2 linked regions of the Callithrix jacchus genome follow. The protein of the gene in region 1 interacts with the protein of each later gene in a biochemical or structural test. Links are inferred from orthologs where the notes say so. Each region holds a gene or a part of one and is shown on either strand. Other genes may lie near its edges.

Evidence for each region.
Region 2: the proteins of RUFY1 (region 1) and RAB14 form a complex in vitro, tested with the Homo sapiens proteins (2 studies listed by BioGRID). The link is inferred for Callithrix jacchus from reciprocal best matches to the Homo sapiens genes RUFY1 and RAB14.

The regions. Positions count from the first base shown.
Region 1 is NC_133503.1:72,109,191-72,117,809, reverse strand, and holds the start of RUFY1 (RUN and FYVE domain-containing protein 1), read left to right. Parts: upstream 1-2,967; 5' UTR 2,968-2,981; coding exon 2,982-3,279; intron 3,280-8,619. UniProt on the Homo sapiens protein: Activating adapter involved in cargo sorting from early/recycling endosomes. Regulates retrieval of proteins from endosomes to the trans-Golgi network through interaction with the dynein-dynactin complex.
Region 2 is NC_133502.1:169,592,607-169,600,474, reverse strand, and holds part of RAB14 (ras-related protein Rab-14), read left to right. Parts: intron 1-4,808; 5' UTR 4,809-4,815; coding exon 4,816-4,867; intron 4,868-6,166; coding exon 6,167-6,220; intron 6,221-7,868.

The DNA of each region.
Region 1 (8,619 bases):
TTGGGGCAGAGTACTCACCCCATCTACATTGACATGTAGCACAATGGGAAATGAACTTTTAGGTTAAGCCATTGAGATTTGAGGGTTACTTGTTACTGAAGGTTACTTGTAACCTTGCCTGATAAATATTGAAACTGTTCTGTGCAAAAAGAGTTTATGTTTTTCTGCAAAATGAAATTCAGTTCCAGGCTCTGATCATTATAAACAAGCTTTTCACCTACATAAATGTCCAGCAGCATTGGAAAGTCAGGAAGGATTCAGGACAATTCTGTTATTCTAGACGATTTTCATCCCTGTCTACCCACACCCAGTAAACACTAGAAGGATGCCCTCAATCTTTATACAACTCAAACACCAACTCCACAAATTCCCAAAACACTCCCATATGAACTGGCCTTTAGGGACCAGACATATCACAAAAACTAGTGCTGTGGGCTGGACCAAAACAGGTCCAGGGAGCAGCTGGGCTTCTAAAGAGGCAACACAGTTCACTCCCAATTGTTTGGTGCCATCAGGGAATATACCATGAATTACCAAATCTTCTAGTGATTCCAGGGAAAGCTAAAATGCAGATTCTATGTGAAATCGTTTGATTTCTCAATATTGGCAACAACTTTTAAAGATTTTTAAATATTCTGGGAACCAAACAAAACAGTTCTGCTGGTTTGGTGTGGCTCATGTTGCCTCACTTTGCAAAGTGTTAAGTGCTAGTGAACTTTTTGTGTTTTTTTGAGACAGGGTCCCACTCTGTCGCCCAGGCTGGAGTACAGTGGCCATGACCTCCACTCACCATAGGCTCGACCTCCCGGGCTCAAGCAAACCTTCCACCCTCAGCCCCACAAGGAGCTGGGAGTACAGCTGCCCCGCCACCGGAGCCAGCTAATTATTATTATTATTGGTATTTTAGTAGATATGGGGTTTCACTATGTTGGCCAAGCTGGTCTGAACTCTTGGTGTCAAGTGATCCACCTTCCTCAGCCTTCCAAAGTGCTGAGATTAAAGGTGTGCGCTACCCCGCACAATCGGAAAAAAAAAGTTGTTTTTTGAGACAGTCTCTGTTGCCAGGCAGGAGTGCAATAGCGCGATCTTGGCTCACTGCAACCTCCGCCTTCCAGGTTCAAGCGTTTCTCCTGCCTTAGCCTCCCCAGTAGCTGGGGCTACAGGCACGCACCACCATGCCCAGCTAATTTTTGTATTTTTAGTAGAGACAGGGTTTCACCATGTTGGCCAGGATGGTCTCGTGTGGGGATTGCTTCCGTGTGAGGCCCCTAGGAAATGGGCCTCAACATACGGTGAGCTTGAGCCCGGACACAGATCCCTGGTTGGGGGAGTCGAGCTGAGGGAAAGCAGGAACTGAGAGAGGGACTACGTTATTCAAAATAATTAACAGACATTACTTTATGGATATGAGGACATGGGAAGCATTGTGTCTACTTTCGGCTTCTTATGGTTTATTGCTTGATTGTGTCCATTTTGGACCCTTGTTACCTTCATTGTAAAATATTAACTTAAGTATTTACACTTGGTAACTTACTTATCATAACTTACTGGGTGTAACTGTAACTTACTTACCATAACTTACTGGGCTTGACTGTAACTTACTTACCTTGACCTATTGGGTGTAACCTACTTACTGGGCGTAACCTACTTACTGGACTTAACTTACTTACTGGGCGTAACTTAGAGGGTGTAACTTGCTTACTGTAACTTAAGTACATTGATCTAGCATAAACAACTTTGACTTCAGAAAAGTATATAATGAAACGTATTGCAAAAATAAAATTGCTGCTTGGACATAGCCTAAGCAAGCCCTCCAGACCCCGCTTTTCTCTTTTCTTTCCCTTCCGCGCACTCTCTCCCTCAGGTTGAACGAGACATTTAGTTGGCGGTCTCGCGGACTCCCGCAGGTCGGCAGCCCCTCGGCAGACATGCCGGACTCCAACAGTCTCAATCTCTCGAGCTCATGATCTGCCTGCCTCGGCGTCCCAAGGTATTAGAATTACAGGCGTGAGCCACCGCGCCTGGTCAAAATTTTACTCTGCATTTAGTGAAATTCTCTTCTTTTCCAAGTGAAGAAACAGATTGAATAACTCTGTCCAAGTGTATAGTGACTTACACAGGCCACATAGTTGTATACTGTAGTTAGTGACAATCGCTAACATCTGCCATGTGGTCCTTACTGCAAATCTCGTTCGTGTGTGTTGCGGGGGAAGAGAGAAAAAGAGGGGGGAGGGGGAGAGGGAGACAGAGACAGAGAGGCAGACAGACAGACAGACACACACACATACACACACGAAGTTTCACTCTTGTTGCCCAGCCTTGAGTGCAATGGCCAGATGTTGGCTTACCGCAACCTCCGCCTCCCAGGTTCAAGCGATTTTGGGAGCCTGCCTCAGCCTCCTAAAGTGCTGGGATTACAGGGATGAGCCACCGTGCCCGGTTGCAAATCTTATTTAATAATGAGGTCAGCTTTTTGTTATCCCACTTAACTAATTAATAGGAGAAGCCAGCTCTGATTTCCAGTGCACTATGGTGCACTCTTTCCTGCCAAGCCGTCGTAGTCATTCGATTAAAAAAAGAAATTCCTGCTTTCCTGCCTCGCCTGTGCGTTTCCTTAGTCGCCCTTTCAGGGCCTGTTCTCATGAGTGCCGCAGAAAAACGACGAAGTGAAAATACAGAACATAAAATGAAAATTTAAAAGAGGAAATGGTGTCACAAGGAAAACGAAGGCCAGGGGACCCCGTGAAGCGCCAGGCAGGGTGCACAACGGTCCTGGGAGAAAGTTCAAGAAGAACTTCCCGCGAACAGGTCCCGCCGGCGGCCAGGAATGCATGCACTTCTTACGTTATGATTTGGACTTTACCGAACCTCTTGAAGCGGAAGGAAGGCTTGGCAGTGAGGAAGTCGAATCCGGCAAACCAAAGAGAAAGGCGGTGCCCAGCCGCGCCCGCTCGCCCGCTGGGTCACGTGACACGGCCAAGATGGCCGACCGGGTAAGAGGCTGCCATGTGAGTTTGGAGCCGGAGCCCGGGCCGCAGCTGGCGCCCGGGTCAGAGCTCGAGCCGGAAGAAGAGTTCGAAGTTGTGGATCGAAGCCAGCTGCCTTGCCCCGGCGACCTGCCTAACGCATCGAGGCGGCGGGAGGCGGAGAGCTGGTCCGCGCCCATCCTGACCCTGGCCCGCAGGGCCACGGGGAACCTCTCGGCGGGCTGCGGGAGCGCGCTGCGCGCGGCCACGGGGCTGGGCGGCGGGGACGACGGGGACGGCGCGGCGCGCGCAGGTAGGCTTGGGCCAGGTCTGTCCCGCGGACCCGCGTGTCCCCGCTGGCCGCCGGCGCGGGCGCGGTGGGGACCAGGCTTGGAGGGCACGGCCTGCCCGGCAGGTTACGGGAGCTGTTGGTCGGCGGGCGGCGCCTGGCTGTGCGTGGGTCTTTACCCTGGCGGTTAAGCCGAGACCGCACCCCTGCAGCCCCGCGTACCTGAGCGCGCTCCCGCACCCGCGCTTCTATACTCACCCACTAATTAGATGAAGGACCTGTGCGCGTGCAGGCTCCGGGACTCTGTAGTAACTCCACACACGAAACGGAGCTGGCACTCTTCTGCTTTTCAACCACTCGGTGCGGTGAGGGTGTGGGCCCTGTGCGCAGCGGACCCAGCAGTGCCTCGGTTCACCAGCCGTACCTCCGCTCACCTCTGGCTGTGAGATGGGGATTTTAAAGTCACCCGATGATCTCTTAAAGACGTTTTCAGCCCCTGTAATGAATAGAGTGCCAGCATATCAGTGACAGTAAGATTTTGATTTAGCCCTCTAACTCCAGGCATCCAGAGCTGTGATGTCCAATACAGCAGCACGTATATGTTTTGTTTGTTTTGTTATTGTTGGGTTTTTGTGTTTTTTTTGTTTGTTTTCGAGACAGAGTCTCGATCTGTCAGCCAGGCTGGAGTGCAGTAGCGCGGTCTCGGCTCACTACAACTTCTGCCTCCCGGGTTCAAGCGGTCTCTGCATCAGCCTCCCAAGTAGCTGGGATTACAGGTGCCCACTACCACGCCCGGCTAATTTTTTTGTGTTTTTAGTGGAGACGGGGTTTCACCACCTTGGCCAGACTGGTCTTGAACTTCTAACCGTGATCCATCCACCTCAGCCTCCCAAAGTGCTGGGATTACAGGCGTGAGCCACTGTGCCCGGCCAGCAGCACACTTAGTTTAAATGTAAGATTAAAATTCTATTGAAAAATTACATCTCTCAATTTTTTTTTCCCGAGGTGGAGTTTCACTCTTGTTGCCCAGGCTGGAGTACAATGTTGGGATCTCGACCAATTCTCCTGCCTCAGGCTCCAGAGTAGCTGGGATTAGAGGCATGCGTCACCATGCCCAGGTAATTTTTTTTTGGAGACAGAATCTCATTCTGTCACACAGACGAGAGTGCAGTGGCTTGATCTCAGCTCCCTGCAACCTCAGCCTCCTGGGTTCAAGCAGTTCTCCTGCGTCAGCCTCCTGAGTAGCTGGGACTACAGACATGCCCACAGTCGGCTAATTTTTCTATTTTTAGTAGAGATGGGGTTTCACCATCTTGCCCAGGCTGGTCTTGAACTCCTGACCTTAGGTGATCTGCCTGCCTCGGCCTCCCAAAGTGCTGGGATTACAGGCTTGAGCCACTGCACCTGGCCGTCGCCCGGCTACACTTGTATCTTTAGTAGAGACAGGTTTCTCCATGTTAGTCAGGCTGGTCTCGAACTCCCGACCTTAGGCCACCCCCCCCACCCCCACCTTGGCATCCCAAAGTGCTGGGATTACAGGTGTGAGCCACCATGCCTGGCCGAATTGAATACTTTTAAATTGGAATAAAAATTGAGTGCCTGGATTACAGCGGCCACATTTTAAGTACTCGGTGGCCTTTGTCTGGCCAGTGGCTACTGATATGGGATAGTGCAGCATAGAAAATTTCCAGCTTCGTAGAAAATGCTGGGACAGAGCCAAGGAAAGGCTGTGGTGCCTTCCAAGGAGCATCATAGCACACCCTTGAGGTTTCTGATTCCTCCTCATCCACTGGTACTTTAGCTGATTACTTCAGGTAGTGATTGTGAGATTTTCAGTGGTTAAGAATGATTAATTAATAAAGTTAAAAGGCTGACTCGTTTTGAGATCCTGGCAGTGGAAAGTAGCATTAGAGGGTGATGAGATTCTGTGCAGCCCGGGAATCAGGTTCCCACTAGCTTGACACCTATTCCCAAGACTTTTTCACACATCAGTGGATGCTGGATTGCATACTCATTGACAGTCAGTACTGAAAGTCAGGCATGACATCTTCTGGGGGCTCTTAGATTTTCATGGCAGGAGTAAGCAAATAATAAATGTTAGTTCTTCCCTGATAAGTAAAATTTCCTTCCTTTAATGCAGAATCAAGGAAAAAAATTAAAAAGATAAAATGAAATGTGTCTGTACGTAGCACAGAATAATAAGTATTTGCTGAAAAAAATGCATATTTGAAAAATACCTGTTTTCCATCTATGGAAGTGATACAAACAACAGCCACCACTTATATTATCCTTCCAAGGTGCCAGGCATTAGTCTTTTTTTTTTGTCTTTTTTTTTTTGAGACGGAGTTTTGCTCTTGTTACCCAGGCGGAGTGCAATGGCACAATCTCGGCTCACTGCAACCTCTGCCTCCTGGGTTCAGGCAATTCTCCTGCCTCAGCCTCCTGAGTAGCTGGGATTACAGGCACGCGCCACCATGCCCAGCCAATTTTTTGTATCTTTTTTAGTAGAGACGGGGTTTCACCAGGTTGACCAAGGTGGTCTCGATCTTTTGACCTTGTGATCCACCCACCTCGGCCAGGCATTAGTCTTAAATCTGTACAAGTATTCATTTATTCCTTACAACAACCCGATGTGATAGCGGGACTAGCTTCATGTGTGTACGATCAGTGCAGGCTTTGATCACTGTGGTCAAAAGGGCCAGGTACTCAGAAGTGTCCCATGCTTGAAATTCTTAATAATTTTATTTTTGAATTTGTGGCTTTTGAGTGAAGTCAGTCCAATGGGACAGGTTCTCACAGCTGACCCACTTGAGCTGCCCTGGGGCTTCTCCCTACCCTCCCTGATCCTACTCTTGCCCAGGCATCACTGGGGTTGCACCTTCTGAATCTAAGGGCAGGGTGGTGGGTACCACAGCACATTAGGCAGGCAGGTGGACAGGGGCCTCTCACTCGTCGCATCCCTGCAGGGAAGTTGCAATCCATTAGGGCTGTGGTAAGGGGATACTGACTTCTGCACTTTACTCCGGGCCTGGAATTTTGCACTGGGCCTTGCAAATTATGTAGATGGCACTGAATGATGAGTACCAATATTATCCCTGTTTTATAAAGAGGTAAACTAAATTAAAGAGAAGTAACTTCACCAAGTGTAAAATGTCAATGTATATATACCATATGGATTTAAAAAATTAATTTAAGGTAAGTATTAATAACTGCCACTCAATCTAGCAAAAACTGTGACCATGGCTTACAAAGGCATGAAATTCAGGGAACTGCTGAGTAGAGCAGTGTGGCTGGTCCCAGAGGTCACCAGGATTTGAAGCCATCAGGTAGGACATGAGCAGAGACAGGGAACGAAGAAGGGCCAAGGACAGCACACTCTGCAGCAGCCCAAGAAAAGCAGTTTGGGAGAAAGACAGTGACACCACTTCAACCAGGGCCAGGCCCAAGACTGACTCATGATCTCTTCCCCGCTGATCTGCCTACACAGCAATGAAAACAGGCAGGACTTTCAGAAGGAGCAGTTTAGGAGCAGATATTGAATGTGAACAGCACTCTTGCTGCATAACATTTTTGTCAGTGGTAGAGGCTAAAGGAAATGCTGTGGAATGTTTTGAATACTTGTTTTAAAATGTCCCATGTGGGGTCTGGCATGTGATTGCATTGTCCAAGTTATCCTATTTGGTTTGGGGATTCTTTTTTAAGGTAATAAACGAACATGAATTTTTTTTTTTTTTTGAGTCGGAGCCTCACTCTGTTGCCCAGGCTGGAGTGCAGTGGTGTAATCTTGGCTCGCTGCAACCTTTGCCTCCAGAGTAGCTGGGACTACAGGCACCTGCCACCACGGCCAGCTAGTTGTTGTGGTTTTGTTTTGTTTGTTTGTTTTTTTGTATTTTTAGTAGAGATGGGGTTTTACTTTTACTGTGTTAGTGAGGATGGTCTCGATCTCCTGACCCTGTGATCCACCCGCCTCGGCCTCCCAAAGCGCTAGGATTACTGGAGTGAGCCACTGTGCCTAGCTAATGAACATGAATTTTAATAATCAAACCACACAAAAGAATATTCAGTTGAGCGCAGTGACTCAAGGCTGTAATCCCAGCACTTTGGGAGGCCGAGGCAGGTCGATCACTTGAGGTCAGGCATTCAAGACCAGGCTGGCCAACGTGGTGAAACCCCAACTCTACTAAAAATACAAAAATTAGCTGGGCATGGTGGTGCACTTTTGTAATCCTAGCTATTCAGGAGGCTGAGGCAGGAGAATTGAAACTGGGAGGTGGAAGTTGCAGTGAGCGGAAATCGCACCACTGCACTCCAGCCTAGGTGACAAGAACAAAACTCTCTCAAAACAAAACTGACAAATACTGAGTCTTCCTTCCCAGAAAATTTCCCCAGTACTATTGTATCTTTGGGTGTTTCTGCACATAGTACATGTGCTTTCCTTTCTCAACACTGGCTATTTTTACACAAGCAATTAGGATGTACACACAAGGAATAAATCTTGCTTTTTAGAGTAATGCTTCCCAAAGGATGAGTAACAAAAATGCATGTTATAAGAATTAACATGCTGGCAGGGTGTAGGTGGCTCACACCTGTAATTCCAGTACTTTGAGAGGCCAAGGAGGGAAGATTGCTTGAGCTCAGGAATCTGAGACGGGCCTGGCAATTTATTTGGCAATTCAGTAAGTGTAGAACTTCGTGATATTCTGTGTGTCATGTTAAACTATTATTAATGAAGCTTAGAGATGTGAATAGTTTGGCCAAGGTCACAAAGCCAGTAAAATTGAGAGATGGAACCACTAAAAGATTGCTCCAGGTTTAATTTTCTATGACTCTAACTTAAGTACTAACAGGACCAGGTAACCCATGGTAGGGAATGCACAAGATAGCAAAACACTGCAGGCAGCTCTCCCAGAGATAGCGTCATCCAGCACTGATTGCCAGGAACACTAGTCTTAACATTTTTTGCTATATAACCCCCTAATAAAACTCCAACTCTTTTTTTTTTTTTTTTTGACCCGGCATTTCGTTCTTGTCGCCCAGGCTGGAGTGCAAAGGTACAATCTTGGCTCACTGCAACCTCCACCTTCAAAGTGCAAGCAATTCTTCTGCCTCAGCCTTCCAAGTAGCTGGGATTACAAGCATGCGCCACCACACCCAGCTAAATTTTTGTTTTTAGTAGAGATGGGTTTTCACCATGTTGGTCAGGCTGGTTTTGAATTCTTGACCTCAAGTGATCTGCCTGCCTCAGCCTCCCAAAATGCTGAGATTACAGGCACGAGACACAGAGACCAACCGAAAACTCCAACTTTTAAAGTTAACATAAAATTCTTCATTTTTTGTTTTTTTTTTTGAGACACAGTCTTGTTC
Region 2 (7,868 bases), on another chromosome or scaffold:
TTAGGTGTTTAACCTGTATTAAAATTACACAGAGAAGTGCTTTTCAAATATTTATCAGTAGAGAAAATTTTATTTTTAATTCATTGTAAGAGCAGTAAAGAAAAGTTATTAATTTCTCTCTTCCCTTTTTCTCCTGTCAGTTCATGCATTTTTCACAATTTGGTGTGTATTCCATATTACATGTATATAGGGTTGAGTGTGTGTGTTTGTGTGTGTGTGTATTTGAATGATGTATGCTGTTGCATAAAACTCTGCAATGTGTGTTTTTTCACTTAACAAAATCATGGATGTATTTTCAGGTGAATGCATATCGATCAAAATGGTTTCTAAACTAGATGAATATTATTTCATAGTACAGATGTCCTTTATTCAGTCATTCCCTTGCAGATAGATTATTTCCAGTTTTTTGCTGTAAAAATGGTGCATTAAATGCACTTACACTGTAGCCTTATGGACTGAAGCTTTTGTATATGTAGGATACTTCTAAGTGGATTTCTGGCCAAAGGATGATTTGGATTATTGTTAAGATTTTTAAATATACTGATTACGTTCCAAAATGTTGGTACATTTCCGCAAGCAGTATGTATGAAAGTGTATACCTTCACATCTGTACCTACATGTTTTGAAACTAATCATTTATATGTCTGTGTAATTTTATTCAGAAAGATGTCTGATTCAGTAAGTGGAAACCATGCATTCTATTTTTTGTCACAACAATAATAAGTGTTTAATACGTGTTCAGTAACCACTTAGCTCTAAATGTACTGATATGAAAATATGTCCATGATTTTGTTGAGTGAAAAAAATATGCAGAATTTTACAAGATTGCATGCCCCATTTTAAAATAGATTTTTCACCTTGACTGGTGAAAAATGGTATGTTTTCACAGTGGTGAAATGGTATATTTCCACAGTGGTAAACAATGATATGTTTCATGTTTAGGAGATGAGATTGAGAAATCCCTTATTAAAGCAATATTAAGCATATTAATATTTTTAAGGGGCAGTTTAATACATGGCACAACAATTGTGTTTACTATGCATTTAGTAAATATTTCTCTTGGCAGCAAGGGTAGTCTATGGCTAAATTTTACATGCACTAATAGTAACAGTGTTACTCTAAATTTTCAGTGTAATTATTCTCCCTCTTTGATTTTTATTTTATCAGTCTACCTGTACATGCCCAGAATAAGCTACCTTAGATGAGAAAATCGTGGTCTTTGGAATCAGGCCTGGGTTCAGGTTCTAGGTTTACCACTTACAAACTTTAGAACACTGGCCAAATTAGTGAATTTCTCCAAACCTGTTTGTTTAATTTTTTGCATGGACTTAATGACTGCAGAGTTGTGAGAATTCAATAAGGATTATATAGGACAATACAGGAAAAAGTAGTCTAGATCATTACATGGTTTGTTCTCAAGTGTTCTCTTAAGAAACTTTTTCTAAATAGATGAATTATAGTATTTTAAATTAGTATTGCTAGTATACCGTTCATTTATATCTATAAATTCTGACCGGTGCATCCTCTCAATGTAATTGATGTATCTTATTCAAAATATGAAATTAGAATTAAGGGAGTGAATACTGCAGAGCTTGATGAGATGCTTGATCTCATAATCATGTGGAGGAGGCACGTTGGTAGAAAGGGCAGGATGGTGTAGTGGTTAAGAGGGGATCTCTACAGTCAAAACTGTCCTAGGTTCAGTACAGACTTGGTTGTGTGACCTGGGCATGTTACTTGTTGATTCTGTTTCCTCATCTGTAAAATGAGGATAATAATTAACTATGTTATAGGGACAGTAGTAAGGATTAAATGAAATTGCATGTAAAATATTTAGCACACTGCCTGGCATATGTCAAGTACCCAATAAATATTAACTGTAACAATTGTATTTGTTATTAGTTTGCAAATTGTTGATTGTGTGTTTAATGCCTGTTGTCTAAGTATGTAGTACTTTTTTTTCCCCTAAAGGCAATAAAGATATTTTATTTACATACAAACTTGATTGAAATACTTTTTGGGAAATGTGAAATAAAGTGAATTTTAATTGTCCTGGTAGTTGTATACAAGTTATAGAATATTACCAAGATTTTTTTTTTAATTTATGGAGATTGTAGTGTTAAGTGGGCTCATGTTTTCAAAGAGTTTGAACTAGACCCACATTTCTTGTCCTTGTTTTTTTTTAGACTTAAGAATTCTCTAAGTAAAGCAAAAGCACTGTTAAATAATAGGGGAAGAACTTTTTTCCCTTCCAAAGTTAAGTAAAAATATATTTCTCACCTTAGCAATGGTATGTTTTATGTTCAAGAAATAAGACTGAGAAATCTTTTTTGTTAAAGTAACTTTAAGCATATTTAATATTTGATTATAATTCTACTGCAGATACTTTTGACTGAATGTATTAATATCGATAAACAATGGGAATATATTTAAACCTAGACAGTATCTTAGAATAAGAAAGGGAAAGACCTGTGGTGAGTGTTGGTGGCTACAGTGTTAGATGTTTTCTGCCTTTCTTGTTTACTGAAATCAGTTAAGTTTGAGTTGTTTTCCTTTAATTCTGCTTTTTATGGGTTTTGTAATTTTTTAAGAAATTTGAGCAAGAAAAAAGTGTGACAGAGCGCTGTATTCAATCTGAAATAGTGATCATTTCTTTTATTTGGAAATAGTTTCTACTATATGAATGCTTATAATTTTAAAATACATTTTCAAAATTAGTTATTTCATATTTAATGTGAATGTATGATAATTAGCAAGTATACAAATTAGTACAACTAAAATTGGGTCATAATTTTATGATTAGTCTTTAAAGCATTTGAAGTAGAAATTTTGGATTATTAGAAGTCATAGCTTTAACATAAAATGGAAGGAGCAAAGTATGTACAGTTATAACTTTTAGTTAGAAGAGGGAAAGAAATTAGGAACATTAAGGAGAAGCACACAGGAGATTCAGTAACTTGAGGGTGACTAAGTGATTACTTTTACCCAGGTTTGAATGGGGAAAGAATGTAGAAGAATTCAAAATTGATTAGAAGAAAAGAGTCTGGGAAGAATTCAGGTTAAGAAGTTAATAATCTTTAAATTAATGTAAGAGATTATTTTTTCCCCTTATATTTGGCATCTGGTTCAGATTCGGTAAATAATCCAGACCAATTTTAGTCTCAGGACCAAGTTCATTCTTAACAGTTTTGAGTCCCTAGTGCCTGGAAAAGGGAATAAAGTTGTGACGTTCAGAATCAGAGTTAAACTAATTAGAAAAACTCCCTTTCCTGAAAGAACTGGTTAAGGGAGTTTTCTGTGATGTAGGAGACTGATTATAAATGTGTTACAACATGCCAAACTGGAATGGGTAGCAAGGCTTCTACTTTTGCTAAATGTAATACAGATAGCTAAGTGAGAAGACTCTAGTGTGTGAAGTGATTAATACTTTACTGTAATTAACAACTTCCTCTTCCCTTATAATAATAATTTGCTTGTTTTAAATATACTTTCTACAGGTTAAATGTAATTAATTATAGAGAATTTTTTCTTGAAATATGGAATATAGTAAGGTAATAATTTCAGTAAATAAATTTCTCCAGTCATGTTAAGTATCTGGCTTGTGTAATGTGACATTGACAAAAACACTAAAAGCCAGACTTAAAAATACTGTCAGATTTTTAAAAATGGGGTTAAATCGTCATATGTATAAATAATTTTTGTCTTAAGCTGAAAGCTGGTTTGAGAATAAACTTTATTGAAAGCTATTATCAGTTTTAGAATTCATCCCCTTTTTTCTCTCTAGGACCCAGCCAGTGTCTTAACATTCAGGGCATTCATTTCATTAAGTTGGACAGTTTCGTTGTTGTTGTTGTTGTTGTTGTTGTTTTGTAGGAGAGAAATTAGAATGCTTTAGGTTAAGTCTATTTGAGAGTAAGAAATGGGCAGTGATCTTTTTGAAATATCTTCTAATACCAAGCTTTCAAATTTTTCAACCGTAAGTACAATTTTATGACCTTATTTGTCTCAGTCCCTAGAATAGTATATAGGAAGCACTTACTATATTGTTACTCTGGCCGGGCACAGTGGCTCATGCCTGTAATCTTAGGACTCTGGGAGACTGAGATGGGAGGATTGCTAAAGGCCAGGAGTTCAAGATCAGCCTGGTCAACAGTGAAAGTGTAAGAGTGAGTGTGTGTGTGTGTGTGTGTGTTAATCTGCAAGTCCTGTTGAGCCATATGAAATTGCCAATCAAAACTGACTTGAAAAATCTATAGGAAGGACAGTTTTGTATGATTTAATCTAGTTCCAACCTTGATTTGGAAATTATATGATTGTGCTGTCTTTGGATGCTCTGCTAACTATTGATTTAAAGTAGAGTAAAAAAAGTTGCTTTGTATTTATTAAGTGGTTCCATTTTGTTTAAAATCAGAGTTCTGAACAAGTAGGTCGTTAGTAACTTACTTGATCAGTTAACAGGGAAGGGGACTTTAAGGGGAGAGGAGACTATTTACAGTGATATTTAACTTAAATTTATAAAGATTTTTTTTGTTTGAAATTGTTCAGAGTACTATTAGATATTTTCTAAAGTGAAATATTGGAGTTTTGGTATAAATGGTTTCTTATATTGCTGTGGATAGCACATGAGAATGGTGTAAGCATCTTTCATTCAAGATCAAATTGTGAAATGCAATTTTATTCTGACTTACTGTAACCAACATTTATTTATATTCAGTCTCCTTTATCCACCTTTAAAGGATAGCAGTGACCTATTTGAATAACTTGTATATACTTTCCTTCTGAAATAACACAGATTTCTTTGTTTTTAGTGCCACCATGGCAACTGCACCATACAACTACTCTTACATCTTTAAATATATTATTATTGGTAAGTTTATTTAACCTATGCTCTTGTTCCCGAAAGAACGTTAACATACAAAATATTTATTTATTTTTGCATTAGCAGTGCAGCTTTTGCACTGTGTCCCTGGATACTTCTTTGATAAAGTGCTGGGTACCTTGTGAAGTGATGTTGGTTGTTCTTGAGGGCTGCTTCAAAACTTGTTAATGCTAGGAAGTATCAGTGTTTTTCCCAAAATATTATGAAAGCTCTCAGATCCCCCTGGGTTCCAAAAATTGATAGAGAATGTTGTTTCATTTCAAATCAGTTGTGTAATATACATAAAATATAGTATTCCTCTTAATTGGTATTTTTTTTCTTAAGTTTCAAGAAGGTTTTGCTCAAATTGTCTTAATGCTATCTATCCAAACATAATTATAAAACTACATTTGAAAGTGCACATGCTTTTCAGTGAACAATTTGCTTTAATTTTGAACTTAAATGTGTCTTTATGTTTCCTTGATCAAGGGTTAACATTGCTATAGTACAGTCAGAGATGACATCTTTTCTCCTGGGGTATTCATGTAATGCAGATTCTTTTCTTTCATAGACTGTTGAAAGAAGTTTAAGACAGGGACCTAGTGAATCAGACTCCCAGAACTCAGTTTGTTATTTCTGCTTGTTACATGCTACCCCATTTGTCACTCTTTGGAATCTTTTGCTTCTGTGCATGAGTTAAAGGAAAAATAAAATAAAATTTTGAAACAGCTCAAAGTAAAAAATACCATTAAAAAATAAGCACTTCAAGACCAGGCGTGGTGGCTCACACCTGTAATCCCAGCACTTTGGGAGGCCGAGGCGGTGGATCATGAGGTCAAGAGATTGAGACCATCCTGGCCAACAGGTCTCTTCTAAAAATACAAAATTAGCTGGGCATGATGGTGCATTCCTGTAGCCCTAGCTACTTGGGAGGCTGAGGCAGGAGAATTGCTTGAACCCGGGATGCAAGGGATTGCGGTGAGCCAAGATTGCGCCACTGCACTCCAGCCTGGAAACAGCGAGACTCTGTGTCAAAAATAAAAAATAAAAAAAGCACTTCCCAGCTCGTGGTTAGTTATTAACATAATAATTATAATTTATAACCGGATTTTTTCACTGCTAAAGATTGGGAATTATAATAGTCCATTTGTGTTTCACAGTGAAAACTTTTGAATTGTTATAAAGTAGAAAAATAAAAATTTGTTAAGTGTCCCAGAAATTTCTGATGTTATATGGTAAGGAATATAGCAGTCATTGTATAACATTAAGAAATGTCATTGGCACCTGAAACTTTTTTTTTTTAAACAGGGGACATGGGAGTAGGAAAATCTTGCTTGCTTCATCAATTTACAGAAAAAAAATGTAAGTTGAATACAGGAGGTAAAACATTGTTTTCTTTACTGTCATATTTCTACTTTTTAAAAAGTGTCATTTTCAGTGTACTTCATGTATTTAAAGATATCCTTTCCCTATATTTGCACTTTTTTTTAAATGGGTACAGATAAAATGAAATATACCAGCATATTTTAGTGTTGATTTTTATACACATTATATAATCTGATTCACTTGTTTTGACTTCTTCATGTTAAAAAGTTTTTAAAAATACGGCCGGGTGCGGTGGCTCAAGCCTGTAATCCCAGCACTTTGGGAGGCTGAGGCGGTTGGATCACAAGGTCAAGAGATAGAGACCATCCTGGTCAACAAGGTGAAACCCCATCTCTACTAAAAATACAAAAAATTAGCTGGGCATGGTGGCACGTGCCTGTAATCCCAGCTACTCAGGAGGCTGAGGCGGGAGAATTGCCTGAACCCAGGAGGCAGAGGTTGCAGTGAGCAGAGATCGTGCCATTGCACTCCAGCCTGGGTAACAAGAGCGAGACTCCGTCTCCCAAAAAAAAAAAAATAAGTTTTTAAAAATACATTAAAAATGTCAAACATAATCTCCTTTTTATTCTCTGACTTTCTGTATTAAGAGAAATTTGCAGCATGTATCATTTGTTAAATAACAGATTTGAAATACTTATAATGGAATTCTTTCTATTCTTTCTTGGGTGATAGAAGGGGCCAATTTGTTGTAACTGATATGCTAAATATAGTTGAAAACGTTTCTGTATAGTTGAAAGTATTTGACATTTTTGTGCTGCTTACTTACCACAGAGGTTTGATGTAACATTTTATGAAGTGCCCAGTGGTCTATGTCCTTGTACTGGAGAATAGTGGGTTTAGGTTTTAAGTGGCTTCATTATAAGGAAAGGACTAGTAAATTTGTTCTATTGGTGTAGACATATATAACTAATATATATAACTTGTATTATAAGAAGTATCTACTAGCTAGCTGTGGTGGCTCACTTCTGTAATCCCAGTAGCGCTTTGGGAGGCTTACATGGGAGGTTTGCTTGAGCCCAGAAGTTCGTGATTACAGTGAGCTCTGATTGTACCACTGCATTCCAAGATGGGTGACAGCAAGTCCCTGTCTGTAAATTATATGTATATATATGTAAAACATGATGATTTTCTTCAAGATAGATATTTTCTGGGATAGGAATCTGTTTGACTAACAAATCCAAGAGCCCTAAGACCATTGATTGATCTGTTATAGGTAATGATTATAAGAAGGCTAAATGGTATCATATTGACAATGTGAAGAGTTTATTAAAATCCTTATTTTTACTTAGCTAATTATTTTAGTTGAGGGGTCAGCAAACTGTGGCCAGTGACCCAGTCACTGCCTGTTTTGTGAATAAAATTTACTGAGATACAGCCATGCCTGTTTTATATATTGTCTCTGGCTGCTTTTCTGCCTCGGTGGCAGAGTTGATAGCTTTTGACAAAGATCTTTTGACCTACAAAACTTAAAATATTTTCTGCTTGGTCCTTTCCAGAAGTTTGCTGACCCTGATTTTAGTTCAGCCACATTTCTCTGACTTCTTACTTCTAGGTCTTTGTTAAATTTTTTTTTTCCAGTGGTAGCTTAAGTCTATTTATAGCCTTTAAGTATTAGTAAATAATT